Alligator mississippiensis: one gene and its partner. The protein of the gene in region 2 purifies or fractionates together with the protein of the main gene of each other region. This does not show direct contact. Links are inferred from orthologs where the notes say so. Each region holds a gene or a part of one and is shown on either strand. Other genes may lie near its edges.

What was found.
Region 1: the proteins of JUP (region 2) and desmoglein-2 purify together in Homo sapiens (affinity purification with western blotting; 3 studies listed by BioGRID and IntAct, with this or other methods). This does not show direct contact. The link is inferred for Alligator mississippiensis from reciprocal best matches to the Homo sapiens genes JUP and DSG2.

Annotation. Positions count from the first base shown.
Region 1 is NC_081826.1:81,647,527-81,659,721, forward strand, and holds the start of desmoglein-2, read right to left. Parts: upstream 5,103-12,195; 5' UTR 5,012-5,102; coding exon 4,976-5,011; intron 1-4,975.
Region 2 is NC_081827.1:163,142,079-163,154,165, reverse strand, and holds the start of JUP (junction plakoglobin), read right to left. Parts: upstream 4,679-12,087; 5' UTR 4,585-4,678; intron 4,244-4,584; 5' UTR 4,162-4,243; exon of another isoform or gene 4,152-4,161; intron 1-4,151. UniProt on the Homo sapiens protein: Common junctional plaque protein. The membrane-associated plaques are architectural elements in an important strategic position to influence the arrangement and function of both the cytoskeleton and the cells within the tissue.

The DNA of each region.
Region 1 (12,195 bases), on a different chromosome or scaffold from region 2:
TAATTCTGCTGCACGTTACCATGGCTTTTGCCATGACATGCTAATGCACAAGAAAATTAGTCTACCGTACTTTTAGTGTTTTGTGTAGACACACCCAGTGTTTTCAGATTTGCCTCACTTCCATGTGCTCAGGGAGAGCAGGGTCTGAAAGACTGGGTCAGTTGGGGCAGAAGGGAAGGGGCTGCAGGAGGAAGAAGCTGGGAGGCAGAGGACAAGGAGGCTACCTGATGCCCCAAACTTAATTTTCCCTGCTGTAGCAGTGCAAGGGGGCCAAATTCAAGACAAATCTCCAATGATTAGTTTCTATACCTGGGAAATAACAACATGCTTATATATTTTTCATATACAGATTCTAATTATTGGGGGGTAGTCTTAAATTCAGAGTCATCTTATATGTGACTAAATATGGTAACTGTGGCAGGGCACCAGTGGTGCCTGCCACTTTCAGGGCTAGATTAAACACTCAGCAGGTGTTTGATTACGGCAGCCATTCTAGAACTCTGGCCACCTATATAAACTAGAGCAGTTTCCTGCTAGGGACTAGGCAAGAAACACTGCCTGGCTAAGCTGCTGCATGGGAATATCTTGCAGGTAGGAGCAAGAGGCTCTCATCCTGGGCATGACCTAAAACTGTGCCCTGCTGGGAATGGGAGGCCTGGTGGGGCTCCCAGTGGCATGGAAACCCCAGGAAAATGCCAGGCCAGTTACCACCCCAGTGAAAGGTGAGTAGCCCTTGCCTTTGGGTGTGTCATATTATCCATCTAATCCAGGGAAGGCCAGGTAAGCTTCTTGAAGCTCCTGAGCCTGCTGGGGTGAGCTGACCCTGTAGGTTGAGGCATGCTTTGTGAAGTACCTGAGCCAGGAACGGGGACTCTGATCCTTGAGTGCAGGCGGGAGGCTTAGACCAAACCCAAGGGACCTGACTGGTCAATGCTGGGGCCAGGACTCAGATTGGGGTCAAAAGGGCCAGGGGCCCACTGTGAGGGATGCTCCTATAAAGCAGAGAAGCTTGAGGTCCTGACTGGCCTGAGATAGGGCCAGGGCTTAAAGGGAAGCAGAAGGTCCCAGAAAAAGGGGCCACGGCTAATGGGTGAAGGGGATGGTTGAGATGCCTGCCTGAGATGCCATCTGTGAGGCTTGGGCCACAGTGTAGGGGTGGAACTGAGCTGTGAATAGCCCCCCCCAAATCAGGGTGTATAATGGGCAGCCTCCTGCCCAACTATCACATCAATATTATTACACCAAGGCATGGCAGATAAGTGAGGTGGGTGGCTGACCTGTAGACAGGGGGCAGGTCGGTGCTTGCACCAGGCATGAAAGCTTGCTCCTGTCACAGTAACTAGTTCTGGAACTCTCAAGACAAGAAGCAACTGTTGTTTTTAGTCCTGAATAATGGCAGGATGTGGTTCAAACACTATCTAGATAAGCCACTTTGTAACAGCAATCCTAAAGTAATGAAAATCAACACTCCTGCAGAAAGGAATAAGCCTAATAAATACATAAATCACAGAGCTATATCAGTGGGTTTAAATTTCTGTCCCCATAAAATTAGGCAGGCTTTATAATAAAAAAGACAAAATTTTGGATATCAAGGATCCACTTGATATAGTATACCTGGATTTTTTAAAAGCTCTGAGGTCCCTCAAAGACTCTTAAAGAAACTAACCTGTCATGGAATCAGAGGGACCTCTCTGAGATAAACCTGATAATTTAACCCCTATTCCTTTATTCTGAGATCTATACTCAAACTGTACACTACTAATAACACACATGGTGTCAGAACTGCATTACATCTTCTGAGGATCTACTTATGGTCCCTGGGAACTGTATGGACAAAGGTGGAGTCTAACAGAGCTGGGTTCTCAGTGAAGGCTGTGTGAGATGGTTAACTATGTTTGTCTGAACTCGGGCAGAAGAGACTGCATAGATATGCACCTTGCAGACTAACTAAATAAGATCTACATAGAAAGCATAAACTCTCATGAACTCGAGGACACTTCATCAGATGCTAGATATAGGCAGGCCTTCATCGACTACTGCTGCTGTAGAAATTCAGGGCTTTTAAGTGAGTAGTTGTAGTTTCTCCAAGTAGGAAAAAACTTGGAGAAATCCACTAGGCTGCAGATGAGATGAACAAACTCCATTTATAGTAGGATACTGTGAGGAAAAATCTTCACTAATATTGTATATAGTGGAGATTTCTACTCTATTATATATAATATACTAATATTATATAATCAATATTAATATAAACTGACAATTAATATAATAATATAATTAATAAAGAATATTATAATAATTCTCCACTGTCTCTCTCTCTCTACTTTTTTTCTTTTTTTTTTTAAGTTTTTGCGAAAACTTCCCTCCAATACATCTCACCACAGAGGGGGCTATCTGGCCCCCAAGGAAGTAGGAACGGAACAGACACTCTCTACAAAATAAAAAAGGTAAAGAATGGGAGGTAGCAGGGGGAAAGGTAAGGGAGTGCTCATATCTGCTTCATTATGCTGAACGATGAAATTCTGAAAAAGCTCAATATCTTCCATGTTGGAGGTGCATATCTTTTTTTCTTCTGGCTTTTTTCTAAAGAACTCTGTGGCTAATTATAGACATGGTAGAAGAGTTACAATGTCACCAGTATCCAGGAAATCAAATTTGAGCAAATACTGAGAGAAGTGATTTTAGCCACTCCTTTACAACACTAACTTTATTTTTGTTTACCCCTGACTCAGATTTCAAACAATATTTCATTGTCAAAGATGGGACATTTCTAACCCCATTGACTAAGAGCCAAGAAAGGTCCTGTTTTCAGTCTCGAGGGAGACGCCCAACAAAAACATGGAGGAGATTATTTTATATTCTTGGTATTTCTGAAGTAGACAGCAAGCAGAACTAAATCAAAACAACCACATTTATTATTTAGTTCTGTCGTTTGAGACCTTTTCCACATATGAAAATAAAGACAAAAAGTTGATCCTCCTCTTCCTGATTTTATTCTCTCTCTCTCTCTTTTTTTTTTTTTTTTTTTTTTGTGCTGACAACCAAGTACTGCGGTCTTGTCTAGATTAGGTAAAAAGGTGCTTCTTTTGATTGAGAGCTTAAACAAGGTAGATGTAAATGTATATCCCACCTGACAATGGGACATTGCACACCTTTTAACACCACTAGTTCAATTAGACCTCAGGTCCTATCTAGCCTCGAGTTACCATGATTAACAAAAGCACCTTTTTCCAGGGGGTCTTTTTTGTTTGTTTGGGTTTTTTTGGGGTGGGTGGGTGGGTAGTATTTTGTATTGAGGCAAACTTGCCTCATACAGCCATCATCGCTCCAACAGCAGCCCATACCTTCTTCCTACACCAGACAAAACCAGTGGAGTTCTGAGCCCAGGGAGTGCCCTTCAGTTAGCCCCAATCCTACCAGAGGATGAATCTGTGAAACATTCAAACTAGTACAATATTTGTAAATTTGTCCATTGTGTTACTTAAAACAGCGAGTGAAACACTTCCTATCAACATGGTCTCACTTCTTCATTGACTGTGTTATGACAATTTGCCTTTATCATCCAAAGCTTAGGAAGCGATCATGAAAGCTGATCAAAAATGATCCATTGGGGCAATTTTTCAGAGGCAATTCCAATTCAACAAAATCAAGTATTCAAACAGAAAACCCTCAGAGGGGCAAGCTAGCTACCTCCTGTGGCCACCTGACAGCCCATGGCTTGGTAAGGTGCCAGGCTTGCTGCGCTGCCCAACTCCCAGGCTTCCTGCCCTCTTTGGTTCCTGGGGTGGGCAAGTGCCACACAGCCCCCAGCTGCCCACCTCTTGCTTGTGTGGCTCTGTCAGCTGTGGGGTGGCCATCATAGAGGACATTCCAGTTTTCTGCTACTCTGTCCTCTATTGATACGAAACCCAATGCCTTTACGTCCTCGATCCTTCTCTTCAAGAGAAAAATAGAGCACATAAAGGCATCCAGTTTTGTATCAACAGAGGACAACCGGATTGTCCTCTATGATGGCCACCCTAGTCAGCTGTCTAGCCTGCTGGCTGCTCAGACAAGCTGCCAGTGAGCAAAAGATTATTTTTTTTATTAGAAATATATAAAAAATACATAAAAGCATAACAAAAATCTCGTACTCACAAGAACCGCCACTAGAATTATCATACAAGCAAACTCAAAGGACTCTTGATATCCACTTCAAAGAAAGGAAAGGATAACCCAATACCAAATACCCTAAATATTCAGTAGAGAAACACACTTCATTTACATAGGTAAATTAAATTCGCCAGGGAGCAAAAGAGATGACGAGCCAAGAAAAGTGCTGGCAGTGAGCTGACAGGACAGGGCCGCCAGACCACTTCAGTTCCATGAAATACCCGAGGCTTTGACTTCCCCTCCGTAGCCTGGGATGACATTCAGTTTAAAGTTTCACCCTTCCTCACGGGATGGAAAGAACCAGCGAGCAAAAAACCCACTCTCCCATTTAGGTGTCCCCCTTCCTCCACAAAGCCTGGGGGCGGCTTGCCATAAGGCAGCAGAGTCCAGGCAAGAGGAGGAGGTGGGGAAGCCCCAGGCGGTCTAATAAAAAGGGATCATTTTGGAACCGCCAGTCCTAGTTGCTTGTACGTCTTCTTGTCTCAGACCAGCACCCCTGAAGCGCTGAGAAGGGAGGCGACCTTCCCACAAGCCCGTGTAACCTCGGACAGCGCTAACCAGGCAGCCAGGGCTACGCCGGGCCCCCAGCGCAGCCCTGCCCTGCCCGCGGCGGGATCCGCCCCGCCCGTCCTGCACCACCCGGCCCGGCCCCCTCACCTGGCCCCGGCCCCTACATGATTTGGGGGGCTCCAATCCCCTTCAAACCCCAGGGAACCGGGGGGGGGGTGTCGGCAGCGGCCCGGGCTGTCCCCGGGCGCGGAGCCAGGGACGCAGGGCGCTGCCCCCCGCGGCGTCGCAGCCCCCGCTCGAGGAGCACACTCACCAGCGCCAGCAGCCAAGCCCCGCGCCCCGCAGCCATGGTCCAGCTCAGGCCGCGGCCGGCACGAAATGGAGCCGCGCCGCCCAGGGGCGAGGGAGCGGCCTGCCCGCACCTGGGAGGGCGCAGGTGAAGCCCGCCCCCCTCGGGGCAGCGCCGCCAAAGGCCCCTGCCCTGCTGCCGCGGCGGCGGGTGGGGGCGCTGCCCTCCCTTCCTCCCGGCACCTTGTGGCGACAATTTGTGCGGGAGTGCCGGGCCGGCTGGTGCGGGGAGCCTCGCCGCCGTGCGGAGACGGGCCATGGCACCAGCCCCGCGCGCTCCGTCCGGCCTGGCCCGGCCCGGCCCGGCCCTGCTGGACTGGGGGGAGGTTTCCAAGTGTGATCCTGCACCAGTCTTTCCACACAGAACAGAACAGAACAGAACAGAACACCAGTTAGTGCAAACTGCAGATGAGCCCACCTCTAGCCGGCTGGGGCTTGAGCCTGAGTGTTGGGGCTCACCCCTGTGTTACCAAAAGAAACCTGTTGTGGTGTTTCCAGAACCTGAGCCGGGTAACAATGAGCACCTCTGTCCACCCGTCCTCATAAAAGAAGACATCTGCTAGAAATCAGGTGATGCTTTTCCAAATCATAGACTCGAAGGAAATGAGTGCTGGAAGGGACCTCAGGAGGTCATCTAGTCAGACCCCCTGCTCAAAACAGGACCATCCCCAACTAGATTATTTCAGCCAAAGCTTTGTCTCGCAGGGTCTTGAAAACCTCCAAGAATGGAGATTGCACCGCCTCTCCGGGTAACCTGTTCCAGTGGTTTCATCGGCATGCGGGTGCACGCACACCTCCTGAGATTGACGGTGTACCCCCTGCAGGCAGTCGCCACTCGCCACTGGCTGCCACCGACGCTGCCAGCGGTCACCATACGCCCCAGCCTCCGTGCCCCCCTCACCAATAGAGTCTGGCAGAATTGAGCGCTGCTCCATCCACCTTCAACCTCCTCCCAAGCACTATATTGACAACATTTCAGAGAAGCGGGGTGTTGAGATCTGTGGTTCCCCTGCTTTACCTCAGGTGGATTAAGGTGTTAGGGCTGTGTCGTGTCAGGGTTGACGGTAGTCTTACGTAGAGTTTAGGTTATGGTTTGGATAGGGATGATCCTGCCTGAGGCAGGGGGTTGTACTAGATCAGTAGTTTTCAACCTGTTATCTGCAGACTGTCTAAGGGATCCACAAAAGATGACTATGTTCAATCAAAAGTATGTAAATGCCCACACTTACAATGCAAAGGGGTCCGCACCTCCATTTGAAATTTCAAAAGGGGTGTGCACCTCCATTTGAAAATTTTTAGGGGGCTGTAAGTGATAAAAGGTTGAAAACCACTGAACTAGATGATCTTTGGAGGTCTCTTCCAGCTGGGACACACTGAGCCCTTGTTTTCTCACATAACAACCCCAGTGCTGGCAAGATATGTAGGGAGTCAGAAAAGAAGCAAGGGTAACATTGGACCCATGCTGAACCAAACGGGACAGCTGATAACCGACATCCAGGAAAAGGCCGATCTGCTCAATGAGTATTTTGTTTTGGTCTTTCATCACTCCAACAGGACTGTCCTGCCTAGCAAGATGCAAGATGGCCAGGGTAAGGGAGTATTTATACCCAGCATCGGTGTTGATCTAGTAAAGGATCACCTTGAGAGGCTGGACACCTTCAAGTCATCTGGTCCTGACAGATTACACCTTAGAGTACTCAAGGAGTTGGCAGGTGTCATAGCCCAACCACTGGCAAAAATATTCAAAAATTTGTGGTGCTCAGGTGAAGTACCTAAAGACTGGAAGAAGGCCAATGTGGTACCCATCTTCAAGAAAGGGCAGAAAGTTGATCCCAGGTATTACAAGCCAATCAGCTTGAATCCCCGGTAAGATTCTGGAGGAAATTATCAAGGACACCCTTCTGGATAATCAGGCCAAAGGCAACATCCTGACAGATAGCCAGCATGGGTTTGTTGCAGGTAGGTCTTGCTTGACCAATCTCATCTCTTTCTATGGCCAGGTGATGTATCACTTGGACAAGGGAGAAGAGATTGATGTCATATACCTGGACTTTAAAAAAGCCTTTGATCTGGTGTCCCATGACCTCCTCATGGAAAAATTGGTCAACTGTGGCCTCGACTTCACCACAGTCCAATGGCTGGGTAATTGGCTCCGAGGTCAGACCTAGAGAGTAGTGGTCGATGGTAGCGAATCATCATGGTGCTCCGTGACCAGTGGCGTCCCCCAAGACTCTGTCCTTGGACCGGTTCTTTTTAACATCTTTATCAATGATGTGGACATTGGTGTCAGAAGCACACTCACCAGTGATGCTAAACTGTGGAGCATAGCATCCACACTGGAGGACAGGCTAGTAATCCTGGATAAACTTAGTAATTGGGTGGATACAAACCTGATGACGTTCAATATAGATAAATGTAAAGTACTCCACCTTGGAGAAAAAACCCGCAGCATGTTTATAGGTTTGGCAGCGCTATGCTTGCTAGCACCATGGCTGAAAGAGTCTTAGGGGTCATGATTAACCACAAGATGAACATGTGCCACCAATGTGATGTCGCAGTTGGCAAAGCAAACACTACTCTGGCATGCATCCATAGATGCTTCTCAAGTAAATCTTAGGATGTCATCCTCCCGCTGTACTCAGCCTTGGTGAGGCTGCAGCTGGAATACTGCATCCAGTTTTGGGCTCCACAATTCAAGAAGGATGTCAAGAAGCTTGAAAGAGGCCAGAAGAGAGCCACGCGCGTGATCAGATGACAGAATATGCCTTATGAAGAAAGGCTTAGAGCCATGGGACTCTTCAGCCTGGAAAAGCGCAGGCTCAGGGGGGACCTGGTGGCTGCTTATAAGTATATAAGAGATGTACATCAGGATCTGGGAGAACATCTGTTCACCAGAGCGCCCCAAGAAAAAACAAGGACCAATGGTCATAAACTCCTCCAAGACCGTTTTAGGCTGGACATAAGGAAACATTTTTTTACTGTCCGAGCCCCCAAGACCTGGAATAGATTCCCTCCAGAGGTGGTGCAAGTATCTACTCTGGACTCATTCAAGAAGTGTTTGGATGTTTAACTTGCTGGGATCCTTTGACCCCAGCTGACTTCCTGCCCCTGGGGCAGGGGGCTGGACTTGATGATCTTCAAGGTCCCTTCCAGCCCTATTGTCTATGAAATCTATGAAATCAAAGGGCATGCAAGGTTTGGGGCCCTGCCACACATTCACATGAAAGCTGGAGAGAAAACAGCTACAGAGGTGTTGCATGTTTTCAAGCACTAGCTTGGGAGCAGGTTGGCTCTTCTGAAGAGCTAGATAACGGATTTTATCTTGTGAGAATGGCTTTGCCCATGTGGCTGGTCTAAATTTATTGTGCTATGGAGCAGTTTATTGTGTAATTATATCATGGTGAGCAGGAGCCAAATCCTCAGACATTTCACCACCCACTTGCCTCTGCTGTGCTTTGGAGGGACTATGACAAGGGCCAAGCTGGTCTATTCTCTCTCCAGTTGTTTCCTCCTTGGCTTTTCTGTCCACAATAGATGGGGTGGGGTAGGGTTTCTATATAGGAAAATATGTTTTCATCAGTAAGGAGTTGCATCATAATGCATGCCATTTATTTATTCAATTTATATGCCATCCTTCCCCACAAAGGCTCAGAGAGGCTTGCAATAAGTTCAGAATCACTTGTAAAACAGGAGAACAGCAAGAAAACAAGACAACTTTAAAGGGCACTAGAATGTCAACATAAATAACAGAGACCCACTAAAATATATCTCCTCCTAGCTTTTAACTGCCGCTCACAGGCAACAAAACTTGTCTTTTGTTTTGTCTTCATAGTCTTCTAGTCTTTGTGGCATGTTTGGTTGATGATGTATTTGAGTAAAGATTTCAACCACAGGGAGGGTTCATTCTACTTTATCATACAAAGACAGACCGCAGGTTGGAGCATGTATAAAACAAGGTATTCCCTCATAAGAAGTTGTCGTCATTAATGAGTAATTCATGGGAGAATTCTTTCTTCTTTCCCTTGCCCATGGGAAAGAAGAAAGAATTGCTCCAACAGAATCTACCAATGATGAGACTCTTAATCAAAATGGAATGGCTTGCAAGTTATTTCCTTTACCAGAGAACAATATTTGATAACATTTTCTGATAGATGCCACCTGATTTAATTCAGGGGTATAGGTTGTAGCCATGTTGGTCAAAGGACAGACAGACGACATTCTTTGGGTACGTCTGATATCTTTTATTAGACCACCTAAAATAGTTGGAAAAGATCTTTTTGCAAGCTTTTGGATATAAACACCCTTACGTTAGTTTGTATGCGAAAGCTTGCAAAGAAGACTTTTTTCCAACTATTTTAGTTGGTCTAATAAAAGATATTGGGTTTACCCAAAGAACCTTGTCTACCTGATTTAATTCATACTTGATGGGTAGAACCAAATGAGACACATTAATGTGAAAAAGGTAAGTCCAGAGAGCCATCTTTACTCAAAATTTCTTTGCCTTTTTGATTCATGAAATTGTGACAGACATTGCTGTATTTACATGCACATCAAGTGGGAATATTCCCACTTGAAAAATCAAAGACATATGTGAATGGCAATTCTGGTGTACTTTTAGCTCTGCTTCTGAGTAATAGTGACTTCATGGTTTTGATCAAGGCATGCAACTTTTCTGTGGCACAGAATAGCTACTTGTGAACCTACACAGTAATGCCATCCATAAAAGGAATGCTCTGAGGCTTACCTAATGTTAGGAAAAGTGCTGTGACAGTCTCTCACAAGAATTTGTAAGTCTTGGATGAAAGGAACTATAGAAGTGCAAATCATTACCATTTTACAAGATGCATAATGATGCATACAACATATTGAAGAACAGGATTGAAGTCCTCAATATTATTTGAATGCAATATTTTTAATCTGGTGGGCTACAAATAGATTCAGTATCACCTGTATATTGTTTGTCAACCTAAGGGCCTGCTCTTCAGAACCAAGCACAAGGTTTTTCTGTTATTCAATCTGCAGGCTTACCTCTCCGCTGCCTGTCTCCAGCAAGCAGGCTCACAGCATTTCAGCTCTGTTTCTTTATAAGCTACCCTTCTGCACTGTCTAGCAGCCAAGCACGCTTCTCTGTAAGTTGTCATCTTGGACCACACTGAGCAATGCTGCCTGGTTCTACTGTCATTAACAGGGGTAGTTAATTTGTCCTGTTATCAGCAGTCTGGCCTTTACAGCTGTCAGATAGTATTCGTGTCTGACAGGACTATCCTGTGCTGGAGTAAATTAATGTACTGTGCCCTAATTGCAGTGTATGTGTAGATGGTGATGCTTTTCCGCATAGTAAATTAGTCGACTGTGCAGTAAAGCGCATGTGTAGATGTACCCAATGATATAAAAATAATTTAATTCCTTCTCCAGTGTCCACTGAGGAAAGTGAGACTTTTTGCAATGACATCAGTTACTATTAGAATCAAATCTAAACTGCTATTTCTTTCAATATCTTTAAAAGACCTACTTATTATTTAACAACAAATACAGGTACATGCTCTCATCATATATTTTCCTATATAATGATAACATCAACATTTATTTTCTATGTTTTATTATTTGTGAATATATCCTGTATTATCTTTGTGAGTAATATTCATGAGACCTGTGTGCCTCCAGAAAGGCATTCTCATGTCATTCATCATAAGTGTCACTCCCATATCATGCTGAGTAAAGCTACAATAGCAACTCTAATCAAAACTCATATATGAATAATTCTTTTCTTGGCCTGGGGTAGAAACACCCAAGGTTTAGTCTTGCTTCTCATGCAATCAGTGGTGAATCTACTCTAGTTCTTTTAAAAAGGTGGAAAACAGCAACTGATCAATTTATTGAATTTAATGGAACAGTCATAGAATGTAACAGGTATTGCTAGTCTTGCTACAGTCTAAAATCCAGTCCACCTCATGCCTGATGAAATTCTCAGAGCTCTTTGTAAGTCATATTAAGGTAATATACGGATATTTCTCATTGTCTTAAAACCACAGAACTGTCTGTTTCATTTAAAATGTGGCAGTGTTACAGTGATATTGTGGCAGTGTTGGTGCTGGAATTGTGGATTGTTTGTGGTGATACGTTCTATTGGACAAACTATAGTTAGGATAAAGTCAGACCGGCTTTCAAATGCAAAGCACTCTTCTTCAGGACCTGAAGGTTATAATACATATACAATCAGGTGCTGAAGAAGAATGCTTTGCATTCAAAAGCTTGTAAGAGTTTATCCCAACTATACAGTTCTTCCTCTGTAATAAAAGTTATCACTCAAAAAACTTCTTGCCTCTCCTATCTTAAATGTCCTACTGCATAGAAACTACCATTGTCACTTGTCTGTCTGGGAATTAAAGGGCATGCTCTGATGTCAAAATTCCACTGCTTTTAATATAATTAAACAGAAATTGATTTTGTTTAAACATTCTCTCCGTGCCTTCTCTATCTTATAGGATAAACAAAGATAAAAGAAAGAATCTGCATTTTGAGATCTACTGACAGAAACTATTACATAAAAGTGAAGCATACATTATGTATAATTACTGTACTGCGTCCAGTTCTGGGTGCCACACTTCAGGAGGGATGTGGACAGCATCAAGAGAGTCCAGAGGAGGGCCACTCGCATGATTAGGGGGCAGCAGGGCAGGCCCTACGAGGAGAGGCTACGGGACCTGAACCTGGTCAGCTTCCACAAGAGAAGGTTGAGAGGGGATCTGGTGGCTGTCTATAAACTGACGAAGGGGGACCAGCAGGCAATGGGAGAGTCCCTGTTCCCCCGAGCACTACCGGGAGTAACAAAGAACAACAGCCATAAGTTGACTGAGAGTAAATTCAGGCTAGACATCAGGAGGCACTACTTCACAGTCAGGGCGGCTAGGAGCTGCAACCAACTTCCAAGGGAAGTGGTATTTGCCCCTACCCTGGGGGTCTTCAAAAGGAGGCTAGACAGCCAGCTAGCTGGGGTCATTTGACCCCAGCATCTTTTCCTGCCCATGGCAGGGGGTTGGACTAGATGATCTGCTTAGGTCCCTTCCGACCCTACCAACCATGAAACCATGAAACTATGAATTATTTGAAATGTATAATTGATAACAGGGATTAAGACAACAACACGTCTAGTTAAGGACTCAGTTCCCTAAACCCACATGCACT
Region 2 (12,087 bases):
GACAGTCTAGGTAATCATAGTATCATAGTGCTTAGCGGCGGAAGGGACCTAAATAGATCATCAGGTCCGACCCCCTGCCCTGGGCAGCAACAGGTGCTAGTGTTGTATCACCCCAGCCAAATCTGTCCAGCCTCATCTTGAAGACCCCCAAGGTAGGAGAGAGTACCCCCAAGGTTTGAGAGTAATTTTCAAAATTAAATGCCGCTGGAGGTACAAGGTCCATTAGGAAGGGAAGAATTTCAAGGAAAGACGGGATTGCCTGGTAGAGATTAACTGAACAGCAGCAGCATCCAACTCCTTGTGACAAGCAGTATACACTGCACTAAGCTCATCCAGGAGCCAATATCCACCAGCTGTAGGCAAGAACCTTTTAAGTTTTGAACAGGGCAAGGAGAATCAAGCAACAGATGCGACTTCCTACAAGCCCCCTGGGTTGTGAATGGAAAAGCCTTGCCCATTGTACTGACAGCCAACTGCTTCTTGGGACGCAGGCTGCAGTGGCCTCAAATTGTTTGCCACAGGAACCCTAGTGACTGTGGCTATTACAGGCAACATTAGAATTGCAGTCTGCAAACAAGCACCTGGCTGTGGGACGTTACAAAGGATCACAGTGAAAAATAGACAGGAACCTACAATCATCCCCTGCCATTTTCTTTTTCCTGCTTTCATATGCCCTCTGCCCTTCTTTGGTCCAAAAGAAATATGGGAAGATGAGATTAATCCTGTTCTTCCAGTCCAAGAACTAGTGCAACCAAAGGGTAAAGTACTGCCCAATAGCCACACTGGATCTAGGTAGCTATTCCATGGTGCTCCAAAAGAAGCCAATCATCAGCCTCCCCAGTTCACAGATGGGAAAGCTGAGGTACAATGAGACAGTGACTTGCAGTGACTATGCGTGGGGCACACCCAGTTGGGCCTTCCATTTCACTTCTGCAACTGTCTCCCTTTGACTTCTCTCATCCAGCATCATAATCCCAGGACTGGCAGATTTCAACACTCTGCTTGGAGGGCCCTTTGACATAGCAGCACCTGACCCATGAGGTATGAATCCTCCTTAATGTCATCCCTGTTGTATTTTTAGCGACCCGATAGAAAACCTGAGGAGGGGAGGAGAGGGGGAGAAAGCAAGTAGCCAGCTTGTTTCCCTCCTGGCAGAGTTCAGGATGACTCATTTCAGAAGGTTCCCAAGGCACAGCCCTTGCTTTTGAACACACCTATAAGCCTCGCCTTTCAAAACCTCACAATCCTTCTGTCTGTTGCAGTGATGGAATATGCTGATCTGCTTGCTGGGAATACACCCCAGCTGAACTCAGCCCTGCCTCAGAATAAATAGCCGTTTGCATTCAGATGGTTCAGGGCAGAGAAAGACCCCAGAAATAAACAGCAGGTTTTTCAGCATATCTAATCTCCATCATGAAAATGCCTGTCCAGAGGTGGAGCGGGGGGGGGGGGGGGGAGGCATCTTTATATACAGACACTCAGCAGGAACACCAACAATAACAGATTTCCTAGAGAGCTGGATGGTATTGTGAAAGGACATTCGACTCTCCTTAATTTCTACCCAAGAAAATGGTCAGCATTAGGAGGTCTCTTCTTTTATAACATGCCTGTACTTTCTGCAGATGAGGTCCAGTGCCTGCCAGGCTTCACTAACGACATCCACTTGTAAGTGACTGACAATGGCAACCTTGATTGAGAATCCCAAGTATTTTACAGCTTTACCCGCCCCCCAGCTCAAGATGTCCACTGCCCACCACTTCCGAAAGCCCAGATGCTACGGCTGTTGAGGGCATTAGAATGGATCCCAGCCCAAAAAGGAAAGTCCAAAGAGTGCTACATATCAAGCCACTTCACATCAGAACAACTGCCTTAGGCCTTTGAAACCTGTTCCTGGGATCTCCATTTGGATATTTCGTACAGTGCCATGCACATCGCCTACAGTCTTTTGCATAGCTGTTATTCTTCAGCGTAACTTAAAATATACCCTCCCTACTGAGAGCAGCCTACACTAGGGCACTGACACAAAAAAAAAATTTACTAGAAGCACTGGCAGAGAGCATCTTTTCAAGCTCCTCATACAAGAGCTTTTTTTTTCCTAGGCAACTCCCAGCAACACTCCAGAACTATCCTTTCATCTGTGCTATAAAGCTGATTAATTAAGCTAATCATTTAGCTAATGCAATTAGAGCACCCTCTCCTCTCCCAGTGTCAAGGCTAAGACAGCAAGGGAGTATTCTCCCCCCCCCCCCCCCAAAAGCCCTGCAGCGTAGCAGACAGCACACTTCTAATTTTACCGCACGAATTCCTTCTCCAGACTCCATTCCTCAGCTTTTTAACCTGAACTCGGAAAATAGAGGTTGCAGCATATTTCATATCTTCCTTACACACTTGACTGACTTCCACACCAGCAGCACTAACTCCCTCTTGTTTTAAGGCAGTTTGTGGTACTCTGACAGACACCCAAAAGCCAATGTGTTCTCATTTTCTCTCTCTCACATGCTTCTCCAACATCCTGTGGAGTGCAGCAAATAGGACAAAGCTCAAAGAGGAGCAAAAAAACTTGGCTCCGAGGAGTCTGACAGACGCTGGGCAATGCCCTCCCCTTCTCCCTGGAAGGAGCACAGAGAACAAGGAGGCACAAGCTGCCAAAACCCCAGAAGCAACACTGAGCTGCTGACTATGTGGCAAACAATCCTGACACATCCTTGCACAACTCAAGTGTCTATGCCCAACAAGCTGCAAGACCAGACACCTCAGTACTCTGCAAGTTTCCAGCAGTTCCTTCCCAAGACCTCCAAGCGCTTCTGAAACCTCAAAAGTTAAGCCTGACAAAACTACGCGGTAGCACTTCAGGATTCTCACTGCACAGCTCAGGGTAGTGTTGACAGATAGGCCCAAAGCGACTCTGGCAAGGTCAAACTGGGAGCTCCACAATGAATCCATGCACAGAGCCTGCATCTCCAGTTCCCAGGCCTTTGCTTTCACCATCCTTCATCCTGTCAAGCCAGCAGGATTGGTGCCATAATAGCAGTCAATGATATAACCCAAGGTTAGGGCTGCTGAAAGGAAGGGGAAGAGAAACCTATCAGTGGATTCTAATGGAGGGAAACCGAAACAGCAAATGCTCCCGAATACACACATAATCACTGTACTTACTGGTGTGTATTGCAAAAAGCCACGCAATCACATACCACTTTTTCCAAGCAAACCCAGAAAGCACCATGCTGCGATTGTTTTATAATGACCCAATACCATACAGCAGCATCAGAAACCAGACATTCTCCGATACCTAGATTATAAGCAGCTGCACTACAATCTCTTCCTGAAAGCCGCTCATGTGTTGATCTTCTGCCCTGTCAATTATACAGAGGAATGGTTTTAAGTGCTTGGTGCTCATGCCTTGGAAAGAAATTGCCATCTTATGTCAGCATATGGAGAGCTATGTCTGAACACTATTAGACTCTTCCTCCCAAAACAGTCAGTGAAACAGCAGTTGTACTGTCACGGAAAGGCCAGCCAAGTAAGCAAACTTGCTCCTCAAAGAATCTGCAGCCGGAAAAGAGCAACAAAACAGGAAAGCCCCATTATGCGCTTTACAAAAAGGAACATTTGAAGGACCAGCTGAAGTGAATTTGGAGAGGATCTCGCTCAGTGATTTCTGTCATTTGCACCGATCAAGGCTAAATCAAGCTACCTCACTTGTTCCCACGATTTCCCAAATTAGCAAACAGCAAATGAAAAGCTGAGAAGTCAAGCTGCCAGAGCCAAGAAAAACCCAGTTTACACCACTCATCCTTAATAAGCAGCGGAGTCCTTCCGCTGGTTGTACTGCATGCACTGGGTCACGGGGCCCACGTGCTACTCAAGACAGATAAGAGCCTTCCAACTCTCAAGATCCCATCAGGATCCAATTTCTCCTTGCAACACAACTTCTAGCAGGAAGCTCAGCTGTAGCCTCGCACATGCCACGTTCAAAGGGGCCGGGGGGGGGGGAGAGCAGAAACCAAGGCCATTTGCAAATGCTACTGTATCAAGGGGTCGGATGCCAGAGTTGTATTAATGTTATGCCTACAAGTTTGCTTGCAGCCCTTAACTGCCGCGCCGTTGGTCAAAGACACACTAACAGCACCACACACAGCACACACACGTACGTCGATATACCAGCTCAGCGTATGCTCCTTCCCCAGGCGGCGGCACGAGTCCACGGGATCGACCCTCCTGGACGGCTGGCAGCTGACGGTCCCTGCAAGCAGGTGCGCACCTGTTACCCGGCCGCCGGCCACGCGGCGACGGAAAGGGGCCAGGCCGGGAGCGCAAGGCGCCTGCCCCGGCCCCTCCCGGGGGCACAGCTCGGGGCCGGCCCCTCGTCCCCGGCGGGATGCCCCCGGGGAGCCGAGCTCAGAGCCCCGCAGCCAGGGCTGGGCAGAGCCGCGCTCCCCGCGCCAGGGCAGAGGGTGCAAGGGGGGCGCCGCCGGGCGGGCACCGGCACCGGGACCCAGGGGCGGGCGGGGTAGGGGTGAGGCTGAGCCCGGGGACCCGGCTCCAGGGAGGGACACGGCGCTGCTCGGCCGCGGCCGCACTCACCTGCGCGCCCCGCGCTGCGCTCTGCCCGGCCACTGCCCGCGGCCGCCGCCTCCGCGAACAAAAGGCAGCCGAACCCTGAGCCCGCAGCCCGGCCCCGCCCTCCCCGCCCGTCCCCATGGACACTCGCCCCGCCCACTCACCGCCGCCCGCTCATTGGCGCGGCTCGCGCTCCGTCATGCCCGCAGGGGTGGGGTTCCGTTACCACCCGGTCTGTGTTGACCGGCGGCCCATTGGCCGAGGCGCGTTCCGCTGGGGTGGGGGGGGGGGGGCAGGCGGGGCCGTGATTGGCTGGGAGGGTTCGGAACGGGAGTCGAGGGGATGAGTGAGCCAGGTGGGCTGGGGAGGGCGTGGCGCGGGGGAAACCCACGTGGGTGACGTCATGCAGGTGAGGGCGGGGCTGAAGGCTGAGCGGGGCTGGGGTGGATCAGGGCCGGGGGGAGGGCCATACAGCTGCCCTCCAGCCCCCTCCCCGGCCCTGTGTCCCAGGAGCCTCCTTCCGCGGCCCCGATCCCTGCCACGGCCACAGCGCGGTTCCCACCGCGCCGCATTCTGTTCCCCCACCTACTAATGACCACGGTGGGCCCCTGCCCATGGGCAAGGGGAGACCGGCTGTAGGAACAGGTGGGCGTTAGGGCTCGGAGAGGGATCTGACACCATGGGCAGCTCCCTGCTCCCCCGGGCACCCTCAGCAATGTCTGCCCCTGGTTGGGTTGATGGGCCAAGCCACGTCCAATGGCCACACGTTCAAACACCTCCTCTGGCTCCATGCTCATTGCAGGAGCACCTTGCAAAGCACCTTCCTCCTTCTGCAAGCCCTGGGTGCAAGCACAGCAGGTCCTTCTCTGCTCCCCTCCCTTCATCTAGACGTGGCCACCTTTCTCCCGGCTCCCACTCTGATGGCAGCCTGCTCCTCATGTCTGCACCAGCCCAATTCCTCCCCATTTGTCTTTTAGCCTCCTATGAAAGCATTGGTTTCTCCCTTGCACGCCCCCTCAACACAGCGCAAACCCAGACAGGACTGGCTCTGCAAACAATGTGACAGAAGAGAAATTGAAAGAGCGAGTCACTTCTACACGCTAGCATCACGAGTCCGGAGGAAAGGCGAAAAAAAAACATATTTTCTCCAATGATCAGGAATGATAAAGGACTTCCTATTAAAAAGCAATGAGGAAAAGCTGTGCGTGACCCGAGGGGAGAGGAACGAGATGGTAGGAGTTGTGTCTCGCTATGTAGCAACCTGCCACCCTTTCATGGGCAATAGTGACAAATGGACAGGAAAAGAAAAAAACCCAGTGGTAGTGCGAAGCCGTCGCCAGGGACACATGCAAGCAGGGACCAATACCTCAGGGTTCCATCTCAGTCGCTCTTTGATAATCCTTTGTCTGGCTCGAAACAGCAATAAAGTATCTTGAATGTGAAATATCTTGGGAACCAAATTATTTCCTTCTCAGAACTGTTTGCTGAGATACGGCGCTGTATGAAAGACTCGGTATTTCAACAGTGGTAAAATGCATCACGTTAAGAGGTGGTAGGAAGGGGAAACAGTAGGACAATGTTTATAGGCAGATCTAGGAATTTGAAAAGGAGGTGCAGGAAATGCCGCTGGTGCCACAACAGACTTTGAAGGCCCCCCCACCCCACCACAGACAATGCCAGGTAGCAGCTGCTGAGGACTTTTTTAAGTTCACAAAGCAGGTAAGACCCCCTCCCCCCCAACTCTCAGCACCCGCTTCCTTCCCCTCCCATTCACCTCTCCAGCAGGGGTTGCCTCTGGGTGCAAAAAATGGGGACCCACCCACTGCCGCCATTGTTCCCTGCTATCGCAGGAGCAGGGGATACTCCAGAGCTGCTCCTGCCCCACTCCACTGGGCGGCTTTGGTAAGTGGCAGCATCAGGCTTGGCCAGGGATAATGACAACATATGGGTCCCTGCTTCCAGTGCTTGCTCCCAGATTGTGGGGGACACCTGGGGAACTAACAAGGAGCAGGAGCACCTGGAAGTCCACTGTCAGTGCTGTCCTCAACTAACCTGGAGGCAGGTGAAGGCCCAGGATTGCTCCTTCTCTCCCATGGTCTGGAAGCAGGTGCTGGACAGGGCAGAACATCTACTGATACCACCGTCCTGCAATGTGCCTGGCCCTCTGTGCATGTGCTCCCCACAGCTGGAGCCCCTGGCCAGCGGGGGAAATGCAATGGATGGGGAGGGAGCAGGAACTCCTCTCTGTCACTGCCACTGACCCAGCAGCCCATTCAGCCAGTCCCTGCAGCCCTTGGCTGGATGGAGCAGGATAGGAGCAGTCCTGTGGCTTCCACCACTCCCTGGTCAGCTACAGACAACGGCTGCAGTGGGCAGGCCCCCCATCACTCAGCTGCTCCCTGATTTATCCCCCTGGGTGTCTCACTCCAGCCCAGGGCTCCAGCCATGTCTTGGACACGGCAGGAGACCCAAGCACAGGGAGATGTCACACTGGTGCATGACATTTACTGTGGAATGGGCATGCAACCATGCCACTGCACCCCCCATAGATCTATCCCTGACAATGGTACAGTGCAGAAAAATGGCAGCACGCCGATTGGGTTTCACAGGTTTGGGGTTCAAACTGGGAGTCAGGAGCCTGCCTTCTATTCCTTGATCTGTCATTGATTCCTCAAGGGACTCAGGCAGGTCACTTCAGCCACAAAATTTCCCCAATGTCAGTCTCTGATTTCAGGCACATCAATTTCTGGGTGCTCAGATCATTGCCCTGATTTTCACAGGAGTTGCATAATCACCTTGGAAAAAGCAGGCCAAGGAGTCTTAAGTTGAACACCCACAATCCCTGGACACTTTTGAAAATATTGTCCCTAAATACCCACATTCGCTTCTTCTTCTTCTTCCCTGCTCAAATGAGGATAATGAGACTCACCTCCCTTCCGGCAAAGGGGGAGGATTTATTCATTACTGCTGGAATGTGCTTTGCGATCCTCCCACAGAAGGTGTTACTAGGAACACAAAGCGTTCTATTTTCCATTTTTAATTATCAGAGGCCTTCTGGCTGCCTCATATTTGCAAAGAGCTTTGAAAGCTTCAGATGAAAGCTGCCAGAGCAGAGCCAAATATGACTGTGGCATTACTCATGGCTTGCACAGTTTGGAAACAAACATGTGCACAGCAGATATCATCAGGTGCTTTTACAGACAAGACGACCAGCCCAGGCAAGGCATGGCCCTGCACAGCAACTTAGGTGAGGCACCTGTGTCTTTCTCCACACAGAGAGTTTCAAGACAATGCATTTGGGTCCCAGTGTAACCAAGCACTTGTTCCTGGAAGCTAGGAGTGTTCTGGCAGGAAGCATGTGGCCTGACTACAAGGTGTAAGGACTGCTACCCTTGGATAGCTTCACAAACCACAGAACCAGTAGGCAAAGTGGCTGCCACCATTGTCCTGTCTCTTTCCATTTCCATTCAGGTTTGCATTTTCCTGTGATTTGTACATTACACATTCTTCCCAGCCACCCCCATTCTGGGAAAGCAGGGATGGAGGGGTCTACCTGTCTAGCAGGATTATCCCCCACCCCCAGAAAGAACATGCTTGAAACCAGCTGCCAATTTCAGCCTCAATGGGCTTTGCTCCGGTTTCACAGTGGTGGCACAGAGATGGAGCCCTGCAGTCACCTGCCTCCTGCACCTCCCTTACTGCCATCCGTGCCCATTCCTTATCTCTTCTTACACCTTGGCTGGTTGCAGCGAAATGATCTTCCTGGCACAATCTTCCCTCCCCCCATCCTTACAATATCTCTGCTCACCTGTCAGTTATCACCTTGGTGGGACTCTGGGCTCTGTATTCATATTTTCCTCTGCCTGTAGAAGGAAATTTTATTAACCCCTTCTCACTCTGCTTTCAATCAAATCCACATCCTGAGTACAAGCAAGCAGCCTTGCACGTGAAACCTGTTGCAATCATTGCTGCCCCTAAGACATTGCTGAGAATTTATTAAGAGGGGAAAAAAACAACTTTTGTTCTCAGTGACCTGCATATAAAGCAAAACAAAAAATAAAAGACCTCTAAAACAAGAACTTGAGTCATTTGTTGTTCCTTTCTGACGCACAGAGCTGGCCTGCAGGGGTCTTATTTTTCAGTGCTGCTTGTTTTTTTGGGAACTATTAGGTTTTTCCTTTTGCTTTTGACAGAGGTCTCCTTGGAGGACCAAAGTGAAATTTCTCAGCCTCTGACTGAAGGGGCCAGGGTGCTACATCACTAACTGTTGGCTATGCAGTTCGGTCGAAAGAGCATCACAGATCATTAGCAAGACTGATCAAGAACTTCCTCACAAGCTTGTTAATAATCACAAGCTTCACTTCCTTGGCACGTAAGAATCCTGCTGGTTCTCCAGAGGGGCAGGGTGGAGGTGGAATTAGCTTGGATTCCACAAGCCGTGTCCCTCCGTGGGTGTAGGCAAGGAACGCTGCAGTTAATAACCTCTTGTTCTATCCCAGTTTAGGACCAAGGTATATTTAAGCACCATTCTGCCTGTTTCTATTCAGGGTTGGCCCTGGGGCATCTGTGCAGGTTCCCAGCTGTGGATTCCCCACCCTGCCCATGGCCAAAGTCCCCCGCAAAAAACAGAGGACAGAGAAATACTGGACTTAGCTAAATGAAGCAGAATATGGAAAAGGCAGGTCTTGGAGGCTGCCTCTGCACCTCAGAAAGAGCTGGGGTGGAGGGACCAGAGGGGTTCCCATGCTTTTGTCACCATCCCAGCTCAATTGGCAGCCATGGACTTGCACCGCAGCATGCATCATGAATATGAGCCGGCAGTGCAATGTTGTAGCCAGTAGGGCAAATGATACTCTGGCCTGCATCAATCGATGCATCTCCAGCAAAACCAAGGAAGTGACTCTTCTGCTCTACTCAGCACTGGTGAGACCGCAGCTAGAGTACTGCGTCCAGTTCTGGGCACCACTCTTTAACAAGGACGTGGACAAGCTTGAGAGAGTCCAAAGAAGAGACACCTGTATGATCAGAGTCTTAAAAGGCAAGTCATACAAGGAAAGGCTGAGGGATCTGGGACTCTTCAGCCTGGGGAAAAGAAGGCTGAGAGGGGACCTGGTAGCAGCTTACTGCTACATGAGGGGAGTACAGCAAGGGCTCGGTGAGCAACTGTTCACCAGGGCACCCGAGAGGAAAACCGGGAGTAATGGCCACAAATTCCTGGAAGATCAATTCAGGCTCAACATTAGGAAAAACTTCTTCCCAGTCAGGGTGTCCAGACTGTGGAATCACCTACCCTGGAGCTCTTCAAAAGGAGACTAGACAGTCACCTTGCTGGGCTCACCTGACCCCCAGTTATCTTTCCTGCTTGGTGCAGGGGGCTGGATCCGATGATCTTCCTCGATCCCTTCCGACCTTACAATCTATGAATCTATGAATCAGGGTAGGCTTTACAGTTCCCCTCTCCTGCTTTAGGAGGAGAACATGAGCCCCAGAAACTGGCCTACAAACCCCACATCAAAGCTAGTCCTTTACCCCCATCCTGCCCGTGAAGAGGCTAATCTGCCTCCTGTCTCCTGCCATCAGGTCCTGAAAAACCGGGAAAGCACCACTTTCAAGAACTGGGCCAGTTCTCCTCCTTTCCATGCTACTTCACCAGGGGGGGAGTGCATGTCCCACATGCCCAGTGCTCATTGATCTCCTGGTACCAGATTAAGCAGCTGACAAGCGGAACAGGAGCTGCACATGTGTTTCCCACTTGGTGTGTCCTGCCCAGGGATTAGAGTACAGAGATCTCCCCTGTGTTCAGCACAAGTCGGATAACGCAATTATCTGCCAGCACACTTTGTAGCTGGTCCCTCCGTAGCCCCTTTTCAACCGTCAGAAGGAAGACTATTATTATAACTCCATTTCCTGACAATGCTAACAGGCTTTGGTTCATAGCCCCATTAAAAAACATCAATGCACTGTGCTTTCCTAAAGTCATTTGTGAGAAACAAGCCCATCCGCACTTTCCTCCATCTCCCTCGGCAGAATTCAATTGAATCCGCTAATGCACCACGGCAATGCTTTGGAGCTGGCCTACATCAGAGGCCTGTGGAAATAATGATCAGCTCCAAGAGCCCCTCGCTGTGCACACAGCAGCCAAAGTGGTGTGCTAGGCTGTTCCCATCCCCCTTATGTGGCTCTGGGAACATCCTGTGATCCTTCCCCAGGCTACAATGCCAGGGTGCAAACTGGACAGGAGCATGGGGCTGAAGTGGGGGGTGTATTATGGGCAAGTGCTGGAGAGAAGGATTTGGCTTTATATGAGGACAGATACATTAGGGATTAGCACTTCCACCAGCATCTCATTCACCATTATAACATCAGCACCAGCACTGGCTGAGGTATAGGGAAGGAGGAAAGCAGGGAGATGTTATCACTACCTTTGAAGTTGTCATTGGCACCATACACCAGGAAGTGGGGCTGTCGACAGACAACACAATTCTACCTATGTAAAAGGGTGGGAGAGGTGGGTTACAACTCCCCAGTCCAAGCCAGGTGACCTGCTGCAATTGTTTCATTTCATAGATTTCATAGACATTAGGGCTGGAAGGGACCTCGGAAGATCATCGAGTCCAGCCCCCTGCCCAAAGGGCAGGAAGTCAGCTGGGGTCATAGGATCCCAGCAAGATAAGCATCCAGTTTGCTCTTGAAGGTGTTCAATGTAGGCGCTTGAACCACCTCCGGTGGCAGGCTGTTCCAGACCTTGGGGGCTCGGACAGTAAAGAAATTCTTCCTTATGTCCAGCCTGAAACGGTCTTGTAGTAGTTTATGACCGTTCAACCTAGTCGTCATCCCTTGGGGCACTCTGGTGAACAAACGTTCCCCCAGATACTGGTGGTCACCCCTGATAAACTTGTAGGTGGCCATCAGATCACCCCTGAGCCTGCGCTTTTCCAGGCTAAAGAGCCCCAGGGCTCTCAGCCTGTCATCGTAGGGTCTGCTTCCCTGACCTCTGATCATGCACATGGATCTTCTCTGGACTCCCTCAAGCTTCTCCACATCGTTTTTGAATAGTGGAGCCCAAAACTGGACGCAGTACTCCAGCTGAGGCCTCCCTAAGGCCAAGTACAAGGGGAGAATGATGTCCTGGGATTTGTCCATACCTATCCCATAGGACATGGAAGTCATACCAGGTATCTTACTGAAGGGTGAAACAGTTACAAAAAATCCTTGGTTTCACTTACTGTGGGCTGGAGTGGACACACAAAACAGTTATAATGGATCAGTTTGGGAAATGGAAGTCCCTTCCCAAACCCTTTACGTGCAGTGTAATTGATTTTTCTGTCCATGCTGTAGGGTGTAAAATGTTGCCAAATCTGAAAGGGAGCAACATGCACCCCCTTTCTGCTGATGGAAGAGACTGGACAACAAGCTGGGAAGCTCTTTGGGTCACAGGTCATCTTTTGGTTCTGTGCTTGCACAGCACCAAACACCACTGGGTTCTGGGTTTTACAGCGAAGCAAAAAGTAAAGTTACTGCAAGCAA